6 linked regions of the Macaca fascicularis genome follow. The main gene of each other region encodes a partner of the protein of the gene in region 5 in a complex. Links are inferred from orthologs where the notes say so. Each region holds a gene or a part of one and is shown on either strand. Other genes may lie near its edges.

Region 1 (3,500 bases), on a different chromosome or scaffold from region 5:
GAATGGGACCCATGTTGTCTTATAAAAAGCCAGGCATCTTGTAAAAAGCAGAACTAAGAATCAGCATACAGAATGCTCTCATAAATGTGATTTTTTTCTCCCTTCCTTTAACTCACACTTACCCACTGAAGGGAATATATATATTCTCATTTTACAAATTTGGAAACAAGCTAAGAGAAGAAGAATGATGCCTTGGTCAAAGCATAACGCCAGGAAGTGGCAGAGCTGAAAAGATAGTGCTTGGGTCTTGGTTTAGCTGGGGGCTGGGTACCCTGATTTATATGATGTTTGTCTTTCTGTGGTGGAAATACTTTGACCAGATACCAATGTGATGTCACCAAACATAGAATTGGAAGAGATGCACAGCAGCACCCCATTATTTAGTATTTCGTAATAATAACTTTAAGAACATGACAATAGGAAAATGTAATTTTTAAAAATTAGGTTATTGCCGGGCGCGGTGGCTCATGCCTGTAATCCCAGCACTTTGGGAGGCTGAGGTGGGCGGATCATGGGGTCAGGAGTTTGAGACCAGCCTGACCAACATGGTGAAACCCTGTCTCTACTAAAAATACAAAAATTAGCTGGGCGTGGTGGCTCGCACCTCTAATCCCAGCTACTCAAGAAGCTGGGCGGGAGAATCGCTTGAACCCAGGAGGCGGAGGTTTCAGTGAACAGAGATCGCGCCACTGCACTTCAGCCTGGGTGACAGGGCGAGACTCCGTCTCAAAAAAAAAAAAAAAAATTTAGGAAGTAGGCCAAGTGCAGTGCAGTGGCTCACGCCTGTAATCCCAACACTTTGGGAGGCCGAGGCGGGCGGATCACCTGAGGCCGGGAGTTCAACACCAGCCTGGCCAAAATGGAGAAACCCCTTCTCTACCAAAACTACAAAATTAGCTGGGCGTGGTGGCACATCCCTGTAATCACAGCTACTCAGGAGGCTGAGGCAGGAGAATCGCTTGAACCCGGGAGGCAGAGGTTGCAGTGGGCCAAGGTCACGTCATTGCACTCCAGCCTGGGCAACAAGAGCAAAACTCCGTCTCAAAAAAATAAAATGTAGGCAGTAGCTGGGTGAGGTGGCTCTTGCCTGTAGTCCCAGCCCTTTGGGAGGCCGAGGCAGGCATATCACTTGAGCTTAGGAGTTCGAGACCATCTTAGGCAACATGGTGAGACTCCTTCTCAAAAAAAAAAAAAAAAGAAGTAGTGATGAATATTTAAGCATCATTGGTTTTAACATCATTTACTTTTTTTTTTTTGAGACAGAGTCTCGCTCTGTTGCCCAGGCTGGAGTGCAGTGGGATGATCTTGGTTCACTGCAACCTTCGCCTCCTGGGTTCAAGTGATTCTCCAGCTTAGCGTCCCAAGTAGCTGGGACTACAGGCGCACACTGCCACGCCCGGCTAATTTTTTGTATTTTAGTAGAGATGGGGTTTCACTGTGTTGCCCAGGCTGGTCGCGAACTCCTGACCTCAGGCAATCCGCCTGCCTCAGCCTCCCAAAGTGCTGGGATTACAGGCGTGAGCCACTGCGCCGGCCAACATCATTTACTTAATTGTAAGTTTATATAATTTGATTTTTGAGAACAGCTGTGTTTAACAACCAGCTTGAAAAATGCCTCATAATTTAACAGTTGGTTTTCTTGAGCCAGAAAGAACCAGCTCTAGCACCTCAATGCTGCTATCCCTTCTCCCTCCCCTGATTAATCTTGGGTGGGTTACTCTTTTTTTCCTTTAAGGAAAGGTTGTTTGCCACAGTGACATTTGCTCTCTTTCTGCTTCTGTGTTCTTCCTGGGCTTGCCATTACAGGCTTACCACTCTTCTCTCATGGATCCTGACACCAAACTCATCGGAAACATGGCACTGTTACCTATTAGAAGTCAATTCAAAGGACCTGCACCCAGAGAGAGTAAGTCTAAACCCATTATTTTCAAATTTTGGCATGAAATGCCTAACAGTCTTCTAAAATGGTCAAATCAGGGAAATTCTTAGCTCAGTCTTCTCTCTCAAATTGTCCTTGTACTTTGGTAGATATTGTGGTCTAGACCTTTCAAGATAGTGGTTATATGTTGCATTTAATAGGAAATTGTATTATTTCTTCTGACTTCTCCAGGAAACTCTTTTGAGAAAATGGAGGAAATGTGCTTAATTCTGGACACTGTTTATCAGTTCTTTCAAACAAATCTAATGCTGTTATGTCTAGAATGCCACATGCCCATCCTTTCTGTTATCAACCTGGAAGAAAACAACAAATATTTTGACCTCTTCCCCGTCTAAATCTACTTCCTTTATTCATTCTTCAAGATCTTCATTTTTAGCAATACCTCAATCTTAAATCTGAAGTATACTATGTAACATTACTTATGTCTATTCCTGCTTTTCTGAGTTTTATTTCAGAAAGCTGCAATATTTTTCAGACACTGTCTGAGACTCTTCTGACGCTTTCTGAGATGTTCTTCCAACAGTATTATTTGTATTATATTAGACACGGTTTCCCTGTACCCTGCAAGGGTCTGAACTGAATTCCATTCATGGTTTCTAAGACCATTATTATAATTATCAATTTGGTACTGATCCAATTCCCATTTCTCTGCCAGACTGTTTGACTTGACCTTTTTTTAACTTAATTTTGTTTTCAACACCATTTGAAAGCTCAGTAAACTTTATAAATATGGTGAGTCACCACAGTCTCTACTTGATTCTGAGGAAAAGGAACAAGGAAGAAGACAACCTGAGAGAGAAGAAAAATAACATAAAAGAAAATCACAGGGCTGGGCGCAGTGGCTCACACTTGTAATCCCAGAACTTTGGGAGGCCAGGGCAAGTGGATCACTTAAGGTCAGGAGTTCGAGACCAGCCTGGCAAACATGGCAAAACCCCATCTCTACTAAAAATACAAAAATTAGCTAGGCATGGTGGTGGGCACCTGTGATCCCAGCTACTCAGGAGGCTGAGACAGGAGAATTGCTTGAACACAGTGGGTGGAGGTTGCAGTGAGCCAAGATTGCACCACTGCACTCCAGCCTGGGCGACAGAGTGAGACTCCATCTCAAAAAAAAAAAACAAAAATTACACTGCAAAGGCCAGGCGTGGTGGCTCACACCTCTAATCCCAGCACTTTGAGAGGTCGAAGTGGATGGATCACCTGAGTTCAGGAGTTCGAGACCAGCCTGAACAACGTGGAGAAACCCCGTCTCTACTAAAAATACAAAAAATTAGCCAGGTGTGGTGGCACATGCCTGTAATCCCAGCTACTTGGGAGATTGAGGCAGGAGAATCGCTTGAACCTAGGAGGTGGAGGTTGCAGTGAGCTGACCTGGGAGGTGGAGGTTGCAGTGAGCTGAGATCATGCCATTGCACTCCACCCTGGGCAACAAGAGCAAAACTCTTGTTTCAAAAGGAAAAAAAAAAAAAAAAAGAAAAACACCTGAATTGGAATGGAGGCCTGTGCTGTGAGCTAAATAACAGTATTAATCACACTAATTCATTTATATTCAACAAAT
Region 2 (3,012 bases), on a different chromosome or scaffold from region 5:
GGCCTGCTGATTGAACACTGGGGCAAGCCAGGTGGCTCACTTGGGTGCATGGCAGCGTTCACATACCTTTTCGTGCCACTGGAGTAACACTGCACTGCTATTTTCTGTGGGCTTCTCAAAGCCTTTATAAATGTACTTCATTAACAAGTCAACACCGTTTCTGTCCAGTGACTGCACAGCCTGCTCAATCTCGCTGCTCTTGAAGTTTGTGAGCACTTTCAGCACCACGCCCTGGGCTCGCTCCTGCAGACGAAAAAGAGCAAGTGAGGCCCAGAGCTGTGCAGGCCGCCATGCCCCACACCAAAGCAAGGACACAGGTTTCCAGAAACACCACGCAGTTTCTAATTCGTCCAGGATGGTTAAAATAAGCAAGCTAGAAGGTCTTTTGTGTATTTAAATTTCAAAGTATCTTTTATTTATGCCAACAAGTTATTCTACTTATTTTGGGGGGAATAAGTAGTTTACTAGGACAAGTATCAACTCTGAGAGAGAGAGAAAAAATAAAAACGAGGGAAAAAGAGAGGGAGAGAGGGGCAGGGTCTCGCTCTGTTGCCTAGGCTGGAGTGCAGTGGTGCAAGCTCAGCTCACTGCAGCCTCTCCCAGGCTCAAGCAATCCTCCCACCTCAGTTAGGGCTACAGGCACATACCACCATGCCCAGCTAATTATTATTTTTTTTAATTTTTAATACTGACAAAGTCTCGCTATGTTGCCCAGGCTGGTCTCAAACTCCTGAGCTCAAGTGATCCTTCCATCTACCAAAGTGCTGGGATTACAGGCATAAACCACGGCACCCAGCCCATCACTATTTTAGATGATACCAATAAGGCCTTATTATACTCCACAATGGTGGTGGACTATCAAAAAAATCAAACCAAGTTGACTTGGCTCCAGCATCCCTCTTGTATTCACACTCAGAAGGGTGGGGCCGTTTCCCAGAACTCTGTGAAGGTGCAGCCATCGGTGACATCAAGATGCTGTCACAGCTGCTAGAATTCCGGCTGCAGGGAGACCCCTTTCCCTGAACCAAATTTTAGCCTTGGTGATGCAGTAAGCACAATTTAGTTTTTAGAAGGTAGGAAAGCATACAGGTACTTAAAATCCTTGGGCAGACAAAGCCTATTCAGGCTGTAGGAGCATAAGCACCACAGGTGAGCGAATTCATGCATTTTCCTCATCAGCCAGGGCCAGGCTGACTTCTCAGCCTACGAGGCCGCGAGCGGGAGTGAAGGCTTCCGTGGGGAGTTTCTCGTATAAACACTGACAGCTTTGATGTCAGAGGAGCCTCACCACCTAGGGAGTGCCAGGAGGCTCCCGTGGAAGCACTGCCCAGTGCCAGCTCACTCCCTCTGATGCGGATGAAACGGACGCTGCCCAGAGCCCCGAGGAGCTCACACTCCCACTGGCCAGACACCCACAGCCCTGGTCCCAACAGCACCCAGCAGAGCCGCAGCGCCACCCCTTTACCTTCACAGCTTGATTCTTGGTGTTGACGGGTGAGTTCCGCAAGGCTGCATGGAATGCCCGAAGCATGTCCCCTGTGCATCACCACCAGTTAAGGATGGCTAGGCTCAAGCATGTCCACGCTGTCATTAACAAGCTCACTTCAGAAACAGCTCAGGGAACAGTCAGATGGGATCTCATCCATACCACCCACCTTCCACGGCTTCCAGGTGGGCAGAGACTGTTTACCGCCCACACGGGGAGGGTGCAGGGCACCTCTGCCAACCATGCAAACCCTCCTTCTTCCTCCCTCTCTACCTTCCCCATCAAAGCAACTGCCCTTGAGGGGTAACTTGCTGTAAAACTGGACTGCGCTCACTTGCACCTGCTTGGTGCTGGGCACTGGATCTCCCCTGCTGGATCCTCACAGCACCCGTACATGTGAACTGGAGGCCGTTCTCATCTTCTCACTCTAAAAAGGGGGAAATGTAGGTACAAAGGGAGATCTCCCAGTTCTTCATCAATGCTCTTCATCAATTAAACTATTAAGGAAATTTAGATGTGCTAGAACTTCTAAGACCTATTGGGATCAATGAGGTCCCAACTGTTACCTGGAAAGAGTTTATCAATCTAACAGAAGCTTTTGTCAACAATGAGCCAGTCTCCACTGTTACCCCCCCCCAACTTCAGTTGCAATCCTGACAACACATTCTTTGCTGAGTTCTGAATACCCAGCATGCAAAAGAAAATTACAATCTGGGTTAGGTCCCCAAAGGTGACACCTATTTTAAACTGAATTACATCAGCCAACTTTCATTTCCTCGTGTGAAACACTGGCTTCAGCCAAAAAGCTTCAAAAATAGAACAAGGAATGGCTTCTGCCCAATCGGGTCTCTACTCCTCTTCACGCAGTGATACCCACGTGCAGACAGGAAGGGCCTTCGGAGCAGAGCTGAATCTCCTGGCTTCCCCAGTGTGAGCTCCATCTTGAGTGAGCTGGGTCTGCGCCACCAGGCGAGCCACTCCCAGCCCTGGTTCCCCAGCTCCCTGCTTGGCTCTGATCCACCTTCCACACTCAAGAGGCAGCCCAGTCCCTCTGTCTTTCAGCTCTGGAGTTTCTTTTCCCCCATCCAAACAAGGCCAGCCTGATATCAGCCACTGATAACCGCTACCTTTTTAACTCTTTTTTTTTTTTTTTTTTTTTGAGATGGAGTCTCGCTCTGTCGCCCAGGCTGGAGTGCAGTGGTGCCATCTCGGCTCACTGCAAGCTCTGCCTCCCGGGTTCATGCCATTCTCCTACTTCAGCCTCCCAAGTAGCTGGGACTACAGGCACCCACCACCACACCTAATTTTTTTTTTGTATTTTTAGTAGAGACGGGGTTTCACTGTGTTAGGCAAAATGGTCTCGATCTCCTGACCTCGTGATCCGCCAGCCTCGGCCTCACAAAGTGCTGGGATTACAGGTGTGAGCACCGTGCCCGGACCTTGTAACTCTTTTCTAAGGTGGTGGCCCCAAAGGAATAAGCAGGATCCCATAGGCTGAACAGAAAACATAGGCTCACTTGCTCTTC
Region 3 (3,982 bases), on a different chromosome or scaffold from region 5:
GAAGTTCTGGAATAGGCATGCACCTTGCTTTACCTTACTGGGATGCCTGGTAATTTCCGCTTGCTTCATTCGGGCTTCTGCTGGGTGATATATCTGTAATCCCAGGAGAGCCCTGCCTACTAGGCAGGATATTGTGGTCTTTTAAAAGACTTTCAAAGTTTCAAATTCTCAGCAGAATGTTCTGAGCTGCCTTATTGAAAACCAAATCTCAAAGAGGGAGATGGGCCAGAATGAAAGCCTAAATTTATACACACACACACCCGTACATGTGCACAAGCACACACAGCAGTGCACCCCCATACAAGTTCCCTACAATGCAAATCTTTGTAAAAAATGAGGACAGGCGCGGTGCTGTAATCCCAGCACTTCGGGAGGCCGAGGTGGGCAGGTCACCTGAGGCCAGGAGTTTGAAACCAGCCTGGCCAACATGGTGAAACTCCATCTCTACTAAAAATACAAAAATTAGCTGGGTGTGGTGGCGCGTGCTTATAATCCCAGCTACTTGGGAGGCTGAGACATAAGAATCACTTGAGCCTGGGAGGGCGAGGTTGCAGTGAGCAGAGATCGCGCCACTGCATTCCAGCCAGTGAGTCTGTCTCGGGGGGAAAAAAAAAATGTCCTGCAAGTCCTAACGTTTTTCTTCCAGACTTGAGGGCCTATTTAATCCCTCCGAAATGGTTAGCTGCTTCTTTTAAGAATAACTTTTTAAAAGAAGAAGAAAGAACTGAAGTTCCGAATAATGGGCCATATTTTGGAATCACAAGTCATTAATACACAAATAGACGAGAATGTACTCCTATGTTAAAAGACATGCCTCTTCTTGCAAATACACAGCCATTTATCTTGTAGATCAGTTTATAACCGCCCAGGTCTCATTCTTTGCTAGTCTGGACCTGAGAATGCATTAAGATCAGTTATGAAAATGCAGAAGTTAATTCAACTTCCTCCTATGTGCTACACTGCTCAGAAAAAAGTATACAGCAATCACCCAAAATAAGACTCTGGGCTGATTCATTTGAATATCTAAAATGCAAAGAAACTGGTAAGAGAGGCTAAGACAAGAAAGCAGCAAGTCAGCCTAAAATATAAGCAACTGCAGCCCCTGGCAGGAAACAGTACTGCTCACTACACATATTACTTCAAGGAAAGTAGTGCTTTGTTTTACAGATAAAATCTGTTGCCTTATAAAGGAGACAGGACATACTATATATTCAATTTAAATGGTAGTTAATACTTTTTAATGCCTCCAAGCCACAAGTACATTATGACCACTTAAAAATTCCCCTCTACCAATCTTTTCCCATCTGTGGATCTCCAAGTAGTTTCCTATTACTAGCTCCCAGTTCACCAGAAACAGTCTGCTCTTATTTCCTCAACTGTGAAACCCAGATGTGAAGCCCCATGCTTATAGATAGGGAAATGAGGCAAGGGGATTGGCCATAGGCCACCAAAAATTAGAACCCAAAACGCTTAGCTCATGTTTTAAATATATTAGAAAAGCAAAGCAGCTTTGGAGGAGGAGGTTGTCTTCTACTGATTCTTGTGTTTGGCAGAGAAGGCTGCCTTGGAAATACGACCTAAGCCCATCTTTTAAAAAGTCCAACTGTAAAGAGAGGTTATCTAAGAACTTTATAGATTCTGGAGGCTTTGAAGTGTGTAACTGGGCCAAGGCTACCACGGAAGAAATCACAGACCAAGGGTCTTGATGTAAGAATTTACAAGATAACCAGATAAAGGCTAGTGGGCGAGGAGAGAGCATTAGAACCTCAAAGGAGAGATAAGGAACGGGTGTGGAGCAAGGGACAATTAGCTTTGCTTGAAAACTATGTAACAAAATGGCCCAGTGTCTCTCACAGAAGGGTTCGGGAAAGGGAAACCAGAGATCGCGTTTTTCCGGCTCTAAGACTGGGTTGGCTTTCAGTCTTCTCTTCTGCTCCTTTTAGAGCAGACGGCAGCGGGGAACGAGAATGCTGGTGGCGACGTGGGCCTGCATCTCCTTTCCTCCTCCAGTCCTGGGAATTCCTGAAAACTCCTTCCAACCCAATTCCAAACAGGCTCTCTCTGGGTTCAGAACAATGCCAGGGAATTTCACGCAGGGAAGGGGTCCCCTTCTCGCCCTAGCGGGCAGGGGGCTCCTCCGGCGCGAGTTCCGGCCCCAGCGTCCCCACGTCCCACAGGTCTCCTGCCCTTTGGCACGCACAGCCCTCACCACTCGCTGCTTCCGCATCCCTCCTCTGAGCCTCTCCCCACGCATCTCTGCCCCTCGCCCGGCCGCGCCCAATCGCCTCCCACCTCTACCCCGCTGGGGCAGCCCCTACACCCTGCCAGGCACCCCATTTCTCTCCTCCAGGTCTGGGGGACTGGACGACACTGGGGATTAGCTGGGGTCAACTCTGCCTCCCCCGCCACCCCTGGCCCCGGGCGCGCGCTCACCCGGCGGCCGCGTTCTCGAACTTGAGCGCGAGCGTCTCCTCGATGATGCGGTTGTTCACCTCCAGCAGGATCATGGCGGCGGCTGCCCCGAGCAGGGGAAGGAGAAACAAGGGCCGGTGAGGGTGGGTAAGGTAGGGAAGGACGGAGGAAGCGGCCCTGCTGCCCCCTGAAGGGACCTGGGTGGGGTAGGAGGTTAGGGGAGAAGGGGAGAGGGGCCGGGATGGAGGGAAGGGTAAGACGCACGCGCTGGCCCACGCACGCAGACTGTGGAGACACCCACCCACCCAACCAACCAACCGACCTGGCCCCCAAAGCCTGAACCCGCCTGCCGAGCCGCCGCCGCCGCCGCCACTGCCGCTTCACCGACAAGTCCAGTCCCCGCCCAGCCCCCGGCTCTAGCCGGCCACTTCCGCTCTCACACCCACTTCCGCTCGCCGCCTGGACGCGCGGCCCCGCGGCGCCATTTCCGCTTCAACCCCTCGTGAACGCGAGCGCAGGCGCGCCGGAGGAAACGGAGACTGCGCTTGCGTATGTCTGATGCCGCCACCCCACCCTCTACTTTCTCACAGACCCCCTTACGTCTACAGCCTACCAGTGCGTCCCCCGCGGAGCTGTCATTCCCCGAGGCTTGCCTGACTGTCCAGGTTCTCACTCCCGCTTGTCCCAGAGATCCAACTCCGTTCTTCCGGTCTTGTCATTTCAGAGACCTCGCAAGAAGCTCGCCCTTGTAGTCTCCCAGCGGGCTTCTTTGCTCCCAGCTTGTTTGCTGGGCGTGCCTCTTTTTCTTTCCAGGTATAGCTGTCCAGCGACACCATCAGACATTCATTTCTCCAACAAACATTTTCATGGGCTCTTGCTCTATACTGGGGATGTAGTGGTAAATGAAATAGATGAGGCCCTGCCCTCGTGGAACTTATAGTCTGGTAGAGGAAACAGACAATAAAATTCTCAATTGTGTAAGGAGGTAGAGATGCATGGGGAGAGGATCAGAGTAGGGATGCGGAAGCAGCGAGTGGTCAGGAGTGTACGTACCAAAAGGCAGGAGACCTGTGGGACGTGGGAGTAGCTGGGGCCGGAACTTGCGCCGGAGGAACCCCCTTGCCCGCTGGGGCGAGAAGAGGACACTTTCCTTGCGTGAAATTCCCTGTATTGTTAAAAGGACAATTAAGGAAAGGAATGAGAGGTCACCTGGGTGAATAGGCAACTTAGATGGGCCTCCCTGTGTTTCTGTCATGCCTCCAATTCTACGTCCAGGTGTCCAGAACGCATTTTTTTCTGCTTTTGAAACCTTCCAGTACCTCTGGCAGAGATACACCCTCCTTGTTACCTGAGTGCGGAATCTTAACTCCTCTTTGTGCTACATCCGCACCATCTGCCTTAGTGCCTTGTTTTGTGTTTTCCCTCCTCCGGGGAGAATGTAATAAACTTAGCTGAGTCCCTTCCACATACAAGGAAATAATTTATTTTCTGTTACGTGTTTGGGGTGGGGATAAAAAAATGAACAAGAAACTAGCTCCTATCATTAAGGCACAGATAGTCCTTTGAAACA
Region 4 (4,235 bases), on a different chromosome or scaffold from region 5:
CCAGCCTGCCCAACATGATAAAACCCTGTCTCTACTAAAAATACAAAAATTATCTGGGAATGGTAGCAGGCACCTGTAATCCCAGCTGCTTGGGAGGCTGAGGTAAGAGAATCACTCGAACTCGAGAGGCAGAGGTTGCAGTAAATTGAGATTATGCCACTGCACTCCAGCCTGGGCAACAGAGTGAAACTCCGCCGTCTCAAAAAAAAAAAAAAAAACACCTATAAGGCAGGCATGGAGGTCCATGCCTGTAACCCCAGCACTTTGGGAGGCCAAGGCAGGAGGATCACTTAAGGCCAGGAGTTTGAGGCCAGCCTGGACAACACAGCAAAACCCCATCTCTACTAAATATTTAAAAATTAGCTGGGCATGGAGGCACATGCCTGTAATCCCAGCTACTCAGGAGGATCCCTTGAGCCCAGGAGTTTGAGACTAAAGTGAGTTATGATCAAGCCATGGCACTGCAGCCTGGGCAACACAGTGAGACCGGACTCCAAAAAAAGAAAAAGACCTATCAATGGATTACGTACAGACATATGTAAGAAACGAACTTTACTGGCATCTGGCAAGGCAATTTTACCCAGAACTTTCACCATTCTCTCTTTTACACCCTGAAGCAAGCCTGGACATTTTTTGTTTGCTTTTTTTTTTTTTTTTTGGAGACAGAGTCTCACTCTGTCCCCAGACTGAAGTGCAATGCCGTGATCTCAGCTCACCACAACCTCCACCTCCCGGGTTCTAGCGATTCTCCTGCCCACCACCATGCCCGGCTAATTTTGTATTTTTAGTAGAGACGGGGTTTCACCATGTTGGTCGGGCTGGTCTCAAACTCCTGACCTCAGGTAATCCGCCTGCTTCGGCCTCTCAAAATGCTGGAATTACAACCGTGAGCCACCCACACCCAGCCTGTTTGCTTTTTACCTTCAGTTTGTACCAGAGGAAACCCAGCCTGACAAAGGCAATGATTTGCTCAAAGTCACTCGGCTCCTACTAAATGACGAAACTTGGGACTCTGACCCCACATCTTGGAGGCCAGGAAGTTAGTTTCACCTGGGGGCACACTATGATCAAGGTGAGCAACAAGCACACGTTTATACTGTCAGCACCTGACACGCTGCCAAGTGTCCTGCAGTATTGCATTGCAGCCTTACAATCCTTAAGGTTCCCATTTTCCAGATAAGGAAAGTTGAGGCTGGCAGGGGTTGGGTAGCTTACCAGTCACTGGCCAGTGAAGGGAGAAGCTGGCACTCCTACTTAGATCCCTAAGATTTTATTTATTTATTTATTTAGAGATGGAGTCTCCCTCTGTTGTCCAGGCTGGAGTGCAGTGATATAATCTTGGCTCACTGCCAAAGCAAGTTCAAGCGATTCTCCTGCCTCATCCTCCCGAGTAGCTGGGATTACACGTATGCACCACCATACCTGGCTAACTTTTTTTTTTTTTTTGAGTTGGAGTCTTGCTGTGTTGCCCAGGCTGGAGTGCAAATGGCGTGATCTCAGCTCACGGCAACCTCTGTCTCCTGGGTTCAAGCTATTCTCCTGCTTCAGCCTCCTGAGTAGCTGGGATTACAGGTGAGCGCCACCATGCCTGGGTAATTTTTATAATTTTAGTAGAGACGGGGTTTCACCATGTTGGTCAGGCTGGTCTCGAACTCCTGACCTCAAGTGATCCGTCCACCTCGGCTCCCAAAGTGTTGGGATTACAGGCATGAGCCACAGCGCCCGACTGCATTTTATTTATTTATTTTAATAGAGAAGGGGTCTCGCAGTGCTGTCCATGCTGGCCTCCAACTCCTGGCCTCAAGCGATCCTCCCGCTTGGGCCTCTCAAAATGCTGGGATTGTGTGTGTGAGCCGCCGCGCCCGGCCGGGATGGGTGGTGGTAGCCTCCGGGCTGCACTGGCAGAGGAGGCAGGGGGAGGTCTGACTCCCCAGGGCTTGCCCTCCTGATCTCTTCTCTGCCCGCGGGTGCAGCCCGGCCCAGCCCCGCCCCGCCCTGGGCGGCCTGGCTGCTCTCCCTGCGCCTCCGGAAAGGGAGGGGCTGCCCGGATCTGCCCTGGCCGCGGAGCCCCGCAGCTGAGGGGTGCGTTCCGGGACTCCACCGGCCAGGCCCGCCCTATACGGGACCCCTCGGACCTGGCCCAGGGGAGGCGGTTGGGAGCAGCGGGAGCGGCCAGGAGGGCTGGGGCGGGGCGGCCGGGGACGCCAACTCATTTCCCGGCGGCTGCAACCCGGAAGGCTCCGGGATGGAGGGGAAGTGACTGGGCGTGGGGCTCCGCCGGCCCGAAGTAACGGGGCTACACCGACCGACCGCGGGGCAAGGCCGGGGATGCGGGCCCGGGAGCAGGGGCGGAAGGCACGAGGTGGAAGGCACGAGGCGGACGCTCGGGACCGGGGGCTGGGGACGCCCCGAGGGCGCCCGGTGCGCGGGGAGCCCGCGTTTCCACGGCCTGGCCCTGTAGCCACCCCCGCGCCCCCTCCAATCCCAGGGTTCCCTCTCCTTTCCGCGAGCCCCCCGTCCCCGCGCCCCCTCCTCTCCGTGCGCCCTCACTCATCCCCGTGCCCCTATTGGGCGGCGCCCCACATCCATGCGTCCTCCTCACTTCCAGGCGCCCCCCGGCCCCCTCCTTGCACCCCCTCTCATCCCTCCCGTCCCGCTCACTCCCAGGCGGCGCCCCACATCCACGCGTCCCCCCACCTCCGGATGGCTCCCCCGACCCCCACCTCCCGGCGCCCCCGCGGCCCTCACCTCCCGCGCCCCGGCCGCGGACTCTGGGCAGTCGACGCGCCGAACCGGCTCTGGGCTCCGCGCCGGAGCCGCAGCCACTTCCTCGTGGGCGGGGGGCGGGGCCTCCCGACCTCAGCCCCGTAGGGCCCGGGGGCGGGGACCTGGGGCAGCGGTCGCGAGATCCAGGTCCCGCCCTCCCTTCGGGGTGGGGGTGCTGCCAGGACCGGCGCAGACGTCGGAGCCTAAGGCTCTGTCCGTAGAAGCCGTCCGCAACCTCCCGTCAACGCTTTACCAATGGGGAAACTGAGGCTGGGAGCCAGGCGCGCAGCCTAAGCTGCCGCTGGGCTAGACCTCCGAGCCTGGGCCGGGCGCACGGCCACCGGGGGCTGCCGGGCGCAGGGTCGGGGAGTCGCGTCCTCTGAGCCCGGACGGCGGGTACTGCGGGCTCTGCGCTCCCACGCAGGTGAGCGGCTGGCGAGCCCCGCAGCCCCGTCCCCAGCCGGCGAGGAGCCCCCTTCACGCTGATACCCGCGGGGCGCCAACTGTGCAGGCCTTGGGCGGGGCGCAGGCGGTCGGGCATGGCCAGGGCAGCCCGGCCCCGCCCCCTCGGCCCTCGGTGTCGTCGCCACAAAACCGGGGTGCCGTCCCCGGGCAGGGTGACACTGGCTGCCTGTGCTGACGCTGGCCGGCCAGCTAACTTCTTTCCTTTCTGTTTCACGTCAATCGGCTTCACTTCTTAAAGTTACCGGGTTGGCCTTGCAGCCACCTAATTGCGGGTCTTGAGCCAGGTGGTCCCTGGAGTCTCCCCATCCTGACCCTCTGCCTCTTCAGTGAATACGTGCCCAGGCGGCCAGACACATGGAAGAGCCACCGATGAAAACCTTCCCTCGGCTAGTCGCGGTGGCTCACGCCTGTAATCCCAGCACTTTTGGAGGCCGAGGCGGGAGGATCATGAGCTCAGGAGATGGAGATCATCCTGGCTAAGACAGTGAAACCCCGTCTCTACTAAAAAATACAAAAATTAGCCAGGAGTGGTGGCGCATGCCTGTAATCCCAGCTACTCGGGAGGCTGAGGCAGAAGAATCGCTTGAACCTAGGAGGCGGAGGTTGCAGTGAGCCGAGATCGCACCAACACACTCCAGCCTGGGCAACAGAGTGAGACTCTGTTTCTTTTTTTTTGTTTGTTTGTTTTGTTTTGTTTTTTGAGACGGAGTCTCGCTGTGTCGCCCAGGCTGGAGTGCAGTGGCGCGATCTCGGCTCACTGCAAGCTCCGCCTCCTGGGTTTACGCCATTCTCCCGCCTCAGCCTCCTGAGTAGCTGGGACTACAGGCGCCCGCCACCGCGCCCGGCTAATTTTTTGTATTTTTAGTAGAGACGGGGTTTCACCGTGGTCTCGATCTCCTGACCTTGTGATCCGCCCGCCTCGGCCTCCCAAAGTGCTGGGATTACAGGCGTGAGCCACCGCGCCCGGCCGAGACTCTGTTTCAAAAAAAAAAAACCGCTGCAAG
Region 5 (3,500 bases):
GCTAGAAGGTGCCCACAGACAGTAAATGACAACAGGTAACATTATGTAAACAAATGGGCTTGGCTGTGTTCCAATAAAAGTTAAAACAAAACAAAACAAAACAAAACAGTTTTGGCATAAGGGCTATAAATGCCCACCTCTGCTCTAAGGGAAACTTAGCTAGCTCCTGAAGACGCTGCTTCTGTAAATATCTCAACTGCTTACTGTTTCTCTCTCACACACTACCTTAACCCTGGAGGTTTGGTAATATGAGTTCTTGCTCTTCATTGCTTCATCTTGCTCATCCCTAAAACTCCATAGCTCCAATGAAACTCATTCTATCAGATTACTCCATTTACCACTCCCTCCTTGCTGAACTCATGCACCTGCTCTCAAGCAGCTGAACAAGATAAGAAAGATACAAAACATCTTGCTTCAATGTATCACTAACCTCAACTGAGCTTGCTGCTGCATGGTAATCCTATTACATTTCTCTATTCTCTTCCATTCTCCAAAACAACCATTGCAACCTCCTCCTCTAGTCTAAAACTCTACCATCCCTTCCCTCCTCTCAGTGCCTCCTAACTGGTCTATGCCCACCTTTGTTCCCTCTTCCCCCAAGAGTCTATTCAACACACCAGACTTAATGAGCCCTTAAAAATATACATCAGATCCTATCATTTCTCTGCTTAAACCGCCCCGGCACCCAAGACTTTCCATTTCACCAGGAGTCAAGCCAAACCCTTTACCATGGCTGAACAAGACCTGCCCTCCTGCTACCCTTCTGACCTCATATCCCACGTGTCCTCCTCCCTTGCTCTCTCTGCTCCAGCCACACTGGCACATTCCCACCAACCTGGGGCTTTTGCATTGTTCCTGCCTATAAGATTCTTCCCCCAGATAGCTGCATGGCTCACTCCTCTCACGCTCAACTTAGGTCTCTGATCAAAAGTCACTTCACCCAGAAGGCCTTAGGCCTTTCCTGATCACAGTTTATGAAGGAGCACACAACCTCTCCAACCACTAACAGTTTCCAGCTCTTCACCTTACTTTTCTTCATATCACTTATTACCACTAATACATTATTTAGACTAAAAGTAGGGATTCTGTTTTCATTGTTTTGTTTGTCCCCAGCACCTAGACCTATGTCTGGCACCCAGGAGTTCAAGAAATGTTTGCTGAATAAATGATCACCTGAGATCAATTATAAATTATATGTAAAACTCAATAAAATCAGAAAAATGAGTGAAGTACCTAGACAGCACGGCTCCTTTCGAGTCTGTTAATCTGTTTAATGTATGTGAGCCCATACTCAATTTAATTTCAACAATTTGAGTCATATATGAAAGATGTAACATACAGTACTCTATAATACATAATCTCATTATCTAAAATAGTTGATCAAAGTCAGTGAGACAAAGCTCAGAGATTAACTCAAGATTAGATAACTCTTGGTTGAGTATACAGCACATACTGTATATTTCACATAGTCCAGAGTTTGGTGGAAAAAACACACAAACCCATGCCAAAGAAACATCAACTATTACTAGTTAAAAAATTTCTTTCTACTGTACATACCAACAACTACCAATTAAAGTCTGTTTCAAGAGCTATGACAGTTACCGGGATGCAAAAAAATATGAGACATGATGTTTTACAATCTGACGGAGGAGAGAAGACAACATATGTAACAAACAAAGTCAGAAATATGAGACAGCCCAAGAGAAGTGCTAAAGGCTGATTGCATATCCAAAATAAGTTTAAAAAAAAACAAAAAAAAACAAAAAAAACCTCAAGTGGGGCATTTATTCCCCCATAGTACAGCAGGTTCTTCTTTTGCACATAGAGGCGCCTCGGAGTCTGTGCTGGTTGTTACAGATGAACCAGAACTTTTGGCCCTGACCTCACTGCCTCCATCCATTGACTATAGAGGTGACCAGAGCTTATCTTGAACTATTTCCCTCTTCCTGTCATTTCCAGACTGCACTTGACTGCAGTAGGAATTTGTTTTGGAAGACATCTTGCCCCCTCTGGTGGTTGTCAAGATTCACAAACTACTGTACAGTCTTTTAAAAGAATGTTAATAATAGTTGATTTACTAATACTTACAGAAAGTTTTTCCACATCACCCTTCAAAACTCGTTCTAAGTAAAGCTGTTTAAGTTCTCGTTCCAACCGTGATGGCAGGCCAGGATACATAGTAGACCCTCCAGAAAGCACAATGTGTTTGTAGAATTCAGATCTAGAAAGACACAATGGTTATTCATTTGGAGTTTTAGGTTAGGAAAATGGTATCTCACGGTTACTGTTACTTATGTCAGCCTCATGGGGTTGCTGGGAGAATTAAATAAAATTCCACATGTAAATCACAGGGCTGAATATTTGCTGTTATTACTACTGTGAAGTAATGACCCCTCTTTACACATAAAACCTTTTTATAATTTTGATGAAAATACTTCTAAAAGTATATAATACATTTTTTTTGTGTGAATGTAACTGAGACTTCTAATAATGACCAAGATTTATATTACAAACTTCTAGTACTTGGACTATGTTGTCACATGCTTCCCTAAAGCCATTGAAATGTGGTGATTTACTATAATTAGCCCTATTCTACTTTAATCCAGAATTCCTGCTTTTTAATTTTTTATTTATCTTTTGTAGTTTTCTCTTTTTTGTTCCTTTGCTTAGAGGCTGTCTGCTGTTATTTTTGGCTAGACTGATGTGTATGCTTCTTATAGCAGCACCCTCTTTTTTCCTTAAATATGCTGTTGTCTATGATATCAGATAATCCAACCTAAAAAGACTGCATATGTAGTAAAAGTAACAGAATCTGAGTGAGGGTCTGAGGAATAATACAAAGTTTGGGAGCTGATTTGCACCCATTTTGGCCTTATTCAAACTGGCTTCCAGGTTGTCAATGGCTAAAGCTACTGCAACTCCAACAAAGCATTGTTTTTGTATTTAATTGCCAAAGCAAGCCTGGTGAATGTCGCATAAACTAAGCAGTTGAAATACAGATTCACGTGATAAGTACACATAAGCATTTACATGTACATTTTCAACATGCAGAACACACGAAACAAAATTTGAGTTATTCCACTTTGCAATGCCAACTCTGTGGAGAAGGTACTGAATCTGACTCCACGCTTTGGGAACGTCGAAGCCCTAATCAGCAACAACAGGCATGTACTTTTTTTTTTTTTTTTAAATATACAGAGTCTCACTTTGTCGCCTGGGTTGGAGAGCAGTGGCGTAATCTCGGCTCACTCCTCCGCCTCCTGGGTTCAAGCGATTCTCCTGCCTCAGCCTCCTGAGTAGCTGGGATTACAGATGCCTGCCACTACACCGAGCTAATTTCTTGTATTTTTAGTAGAGACGGGTTTCACCATGTTGGCCAGGATGGTCTCGAACTCCTGACCTCGTGATTCGCCCGCCTCAGCCTCCCAAAGTGCTAGGATTACAGGCGTGAGCCACCACGCCTGGCCAGCATATACTTTTAAATACAATTCTGCTGTGAA
Region 6 (3,491 bases), on a different chromosome or scaffold from region 5:
GGGAAAACTGTGAGGAATGGTTACCCTATCCATAAATGTTAGTTCTTTTTGATAGTGTATGAGGGATAAAGTGACTTGACCAAGGCTAAACAACAAGTTTACTATGTACTTTTCTCTTATGTGTGTGTTTTCATTCGGATACACTTCAAACACTTAATATTTTTATGGCTGGTTCTATTTACATGTTATCCAGTTTTTTACCCAAAGCTCAAAATCCCTTGTACTCTTTTGACAGATGATGTACCAGCATCTACTTACATTGCAAAATATATGCATGAAAATAGAAAAAAATGATTTAAGAATTCTTGATCCTCCAAACCCCTAATTCTTTAAAAAAAAGTTGTAAAATATCTAACACAAAATTTGCCATTTTAACCATCTTTAAGCGTAAAATCCATTGGCATTAATTACATTTACAATGTATTGTAGCCATCACCACTATCTGTTTCCATAATTTTACCACTCCAAGCAGGAACTCTGTACCCATTAAGCACTAACTCCCTATTCCTTACTTTTCCTACTTCCTGGTAACCTCTAAGGACTTTGTCCCTTTGTCTTTGCCTATCTTAGATTATTTTATATAAGTAAAATTATAAAATATTAGTTCTTTTGTATTTGGCTTATTTCACTTGGTATGTTTTCAAGGTTTACTCATGTTATAGTATGTGTCAGAATGTCATTCCTTTTTATGGTTGAATCATATTCCATTGTATGTATGTACTACAATTTACCTGTTCATCTGTTGATGATCCTTGTGTTGTTTTCACCCTTTGGTCACTGTGAAAGAATTCTTGATTTATACTGCTTATTTTCTTTTACAAAGTTTTGATTTAATTTAGAGTTCAAGATTATGTTTAATTACTAATAATCGTTGCTGAATAAACACAAGTGTTGGAATTAGAATCTCTTAAGACCAAGGCTAGTAAACATAAATATGAACTATCATTTTCATGCATTTTATTTGTAATAAAAAAATGTACAACCAAGTCAAAATGGTTATTCAGGTGAGAGAGGTCGTCACTGTCATCCCCTATTGTAAAAGAACCAGTTATGTAGATTTATAATTCATAATTTACCTTTTCATGCCATTGCAGTAACACAGCACTGCTATTGTCAGAGGGGCTCTCAAATCCTTTATAAATATACTTCATTAGGAGATCCACACCATTCTTGTCCAGAGATTGAACTGCCTTTTCAATATCATTAGCTTTAAAAGAGATGAGCACCTTCAAGACAATGCTGCCTGCCCGGTCCTGGTGAGTAAATAAATAACAGAACATTTAGACGTATCTGTATGAGGATGGTTTAGAATTTCAGAAAGGCCACACTAAGAAGGTGACATTTGAGTAAGGACCTGAAGGACGTGAAAGAGGAAGGCCTGGGATAACTGAGGAAAGTGTTTCAGACAGAGGAAAGAACACACTATTAGTGTGTGTTCAGTGTGTTCTAGGAATAGGAAAAAAACCCAATGTGGTTGGAGTGGACTGGTGGGAGAAAAGCAGGTGAGCAAGTCAGAGGTTATGGGAGGACAGATCGTGTAAGGCCTCCAGGCATTGTAAGGAGTTTGGCTTTTACTGAGAGAAATAAGAAGACATTGGAAGGTTTTAAGAGCAGTGCCATAATCTGACTCACATTTTAACAGGATCGCTTTGGCATCTACGTTACAGAGAATAAGCAGTGGGGGTAGGGGATAAGGCAGAAGCAGGGAGAGCAATTAGGAGGTAATTGCAGTAATACAGGCCGGATGTGGTGAGCACAGTAGCAGTGGAAGTGGTTAAAAACTAGACAGACTATTGACATAATTGAAGGCAGAGCCAAGAGGATTTGCTAACAGATCAATGTGATAATTTAACAATTTATTAAAACAACATTTAAATTTTATGTCTTGATCTTAAAAACAAAATTCCAACAAAACAGCCGGGTGTGGTGGCTCACAGCTGTAATCCCAGCACATCGAGAGGCCGAGATGGGCAGATCACCTGACGTCAGGAGTTCAAGACCAGCCTGGCCAAAATGGTAAAATCCTGTTTCTGCTAAAAATACAGAAATTATCCGGGCATAGTGGCAGGTGCCTGTGATCCCAGCTACTCGGGAGGCTGAGGCATGAGGATCGCTTAAATCCGGGAGGCGGAGAGTGCAGTGAGCAGAGATTGCGCCATTGCACTCCAACCTGGGCAACAGAGTGAGACTCCGTCTCAAAAAAAAAAAAAAAAAAAAGAAACCCCACAAAACAAGGAAGCAATTTGCATTTCTACCTTGAATTATTCTTCAGAAGTAATTTTTTCTTAAAAACTTTCTTTTAAAATTTTTAAACAAAGCTGTCTTAAAAGAAAATTGTAATTTATATGAATTGACTGTAGATACGAAATATAGTGATGTTCATTAATAATGATCTTTTTTCTTTAGCAAAAGCCTGCTTCAAAAGCAGTTATTTTCTTACCCATTCAAGCAAGCAAAGGGAACACTTAACTGACCTTTTCAACAATTCGTTTCTTCTTCCATTCAACACAAAGGGCTACCTCCAGCATTCCTACTGGTCAGGATTTCACACAATGCTTCTACTACCTATTGTTATCTTTGGTTTAAAGACTATGCAATCACCAGATTTAGAAAACATATCTTTGCATCCAGGGTAAAAATGAAATTTCAACGACATTCTTTACAACTTGTAAAAACCAAAGCAATTTTTCCCCGATAAAAAATTATGTTACCTAGATAATTATTACACATTTACCTAAGTTATTACCTACTACTACTCAATTGAGATTCTTGAAGCTCCTAGGATGTACGAATAGTTATGGACAATGAGGTTGATGCTATGGGCATCATTTTAAATAAATACTTAAATAGGTTAAGAACTACTAAAAGACTGCAGAGAATGTAAGTTGCACAACCATTCTGAAGGGCAATTTGGCAATACTACATGTACCAAAAGCCTTAAAAAAGTGCGTTCTTTGATCCAGTAATTCACTGCTAGCAATTTATTCAAAGAGAACAATTAAAAATTTACCAAAAAATATTCATTTCAGTGGTTCACAATAGGAAAAGTCAGTCTAAATATATAACAAAAGATTAGTTATGTATACACTGCAGCTTATCCATATACAACTGTTAAAAATGCTATAGAAATAAACTTATTACGAAGGAAATCTCTTGTACATTGCATACAGCCGAAAAAGCAGGTTATAAAATTTCATTCTTAAAAAACAAAAGGGAACTCTAACAATATAGCAAGGCCCCAAAGTAGTAACTGTTATCTCTGGGTAGTGGGACTATAAATGACTATCTTTTTAACCTTCCCATATGTCTGAGCTTTCTATAATAAATATTTAGTATTTGTACAGTTTTAAAAAATCTTTAAAAAGCAATTACAATCTGTTTATTTTTGTAAAGGTTTAACTTATTTTTCAAACCTTTGTTCAAATTCAGCCTGAGTGGTCTCCTCTAAAAACACACACAAATGATTTCACTATTTGAATTCACTGCGTCTT

The links.
Region 1: ACTR2 (region 5) and ARPC3 share a complex: the UniProt entries of both Homo sapiens proteins name them as parts of the arp2/3 complex. The link is inferred for Macaca fascicularis from reciprocal best matches to the Homo sapiens genes ACTR2 and ARPC3.
Region 2: the proteins of ACTR2 (region 5) and ARPC5L are in contact, whole or in part, in a cryo-EM structure (PDB 6YW6), measured with the Homo sapiens proteins. The link is inferred for Macaca fascicularis from reciprocal best matches to the Homo sapiens genes ACTR2 and ARPC5L. Residues at the interface, in NP_005713.1 of Homo sapiens: Tyr225, Glu263, Phe266, Gln267, Arg319, Lys322, Gln323, Ser338; in NP_112240.1 of Homo sapiens: Arg11, Arg12, Val13, Asp14, Ile15, Asp16, Glu20.
Region 3: ACTR2 (region 5) and ARPC2 share a complex: the UniProt entries of both Homo sapiens proteins name them as parts of the arp2/3 complex. The link is inferred for Macaca fascicularis from reciprocal best matches to the Homo sapiens genes ACTR2 and ARPC2.
Region 4: ACTR2 (region 5) and ARPC1B share a complex: the UniProt entries of both Homo sapiens proteins name them as parts of the arp2/3 complex. The link is inferred for Macaca fascicularis from reciprocal best matches to the Homo sapiens genes ACTR2 and ARPC1B.
Region 6: ACTR2 (region 5) and ARPC5 share a complex: the UniProt entries of both Homo sapiens proteins name them as parts of the arp2/3 complex. The link is inferred for Macaca fascicularis from reciprocal best matches to the Homo sapiens genes ACTR2 and ARPC5.

The regions. Positions count from the first base shown.
Region 1 is NC_088385.1:117,318,444-117,321,943, reverse strand, and holds part of ARPC3 (actin-related protein 2/3 complex subunit 3), read left to right. Parts: intron 1-1,806; coding exon 1,807-1,906; intron 1,907-3,500. UniProt on the Homo sapiens protein: Component of the Arp2/3 complex, a multiprotein complex that mediates actin polymerization upon stimulation by nucleation-promoting factor (NPF).
Region 2 is NC_088389.1:19,191,950-19,194,961, forward strand, and holds part of ARPC5L (actin-related protein 2/3 complex subunit 5-like protein), read right to left. Parts: intron 1,538-3,012; coding exon 1,466-1,537; intron 244-1,465; coding exon 67-243; intron 1-66. UniProt on the Homo sapiens protein: May function as component of the Arp2/3 complex which is involved in regulation of actin polymerization and together with an activating nucleation-promoting factor (NPF) mediates the formation of branched actin networks.
Region 3 is NC_088386.1:114,116,741-114,120,722, reverse strand, and holds the start of ARPC2 (actin-related protein 2/3 complex subunit 2), read right to left. Parts: upstream 2,801-3,982; 5' UTR 2,735-2,800; intron 2,516-2,734; 5' UTR 2,508-2,515; coding exon 2,434-2,507; intron 1-2,433. UniProt on the Homo sapiens protein: Actin-binding component of the Arp2/3 complex, a multiprotein complex that mediates actin polymerization upon stimulation by nucleation-promoting factor (NPF).
Region 4 is NC_088377.1:47,963,509-47,967,743, reverse strand, and holds the start of ARPC1B (actin-related protein 2/3 complex subunit 1B), read right to left. Parts: upstream 2,801-4,235; 5' UTR 2,749-2,800; intron 1-2,748. UniProt on the Homo sapiens protein: Component of the Arp2/3 complex, a multiprotein complex that mediates actin polymerization upon stimulation by nucleation-promoting factor (NPF).
Region 5 is NC_088387.1:56,630,649-56,634,148, forward strand, and holds part of ACTR2 (actin-related protein 2), read right to left. Parts: intron 2,222-3,500; coding exon 2,089-2,221; intron 1-2,088. UniProt on the Homo sapiens protein: ATP-binding component of the Arp2/3 complex, a multiprotein complex that mediates actin polymerization upon stimulation by nucleation-promoting factor (NPF).
Region 6 is NC_088375.1:41,176,232-41,179,722, forward strand, and holds part of ARPC5 (actin-related protein 2/3 complex subunit 5), read right to left. Parts: intron 1,254-3,491; coding exon 1,077-1,253; intron 1-1,076. UniProt on the Homo sapiens protein: Component of the Arp2/3 complex, a multiprotein complex that mediates actin polymerization upon stimulation by nucleation-promoting factor (NPF).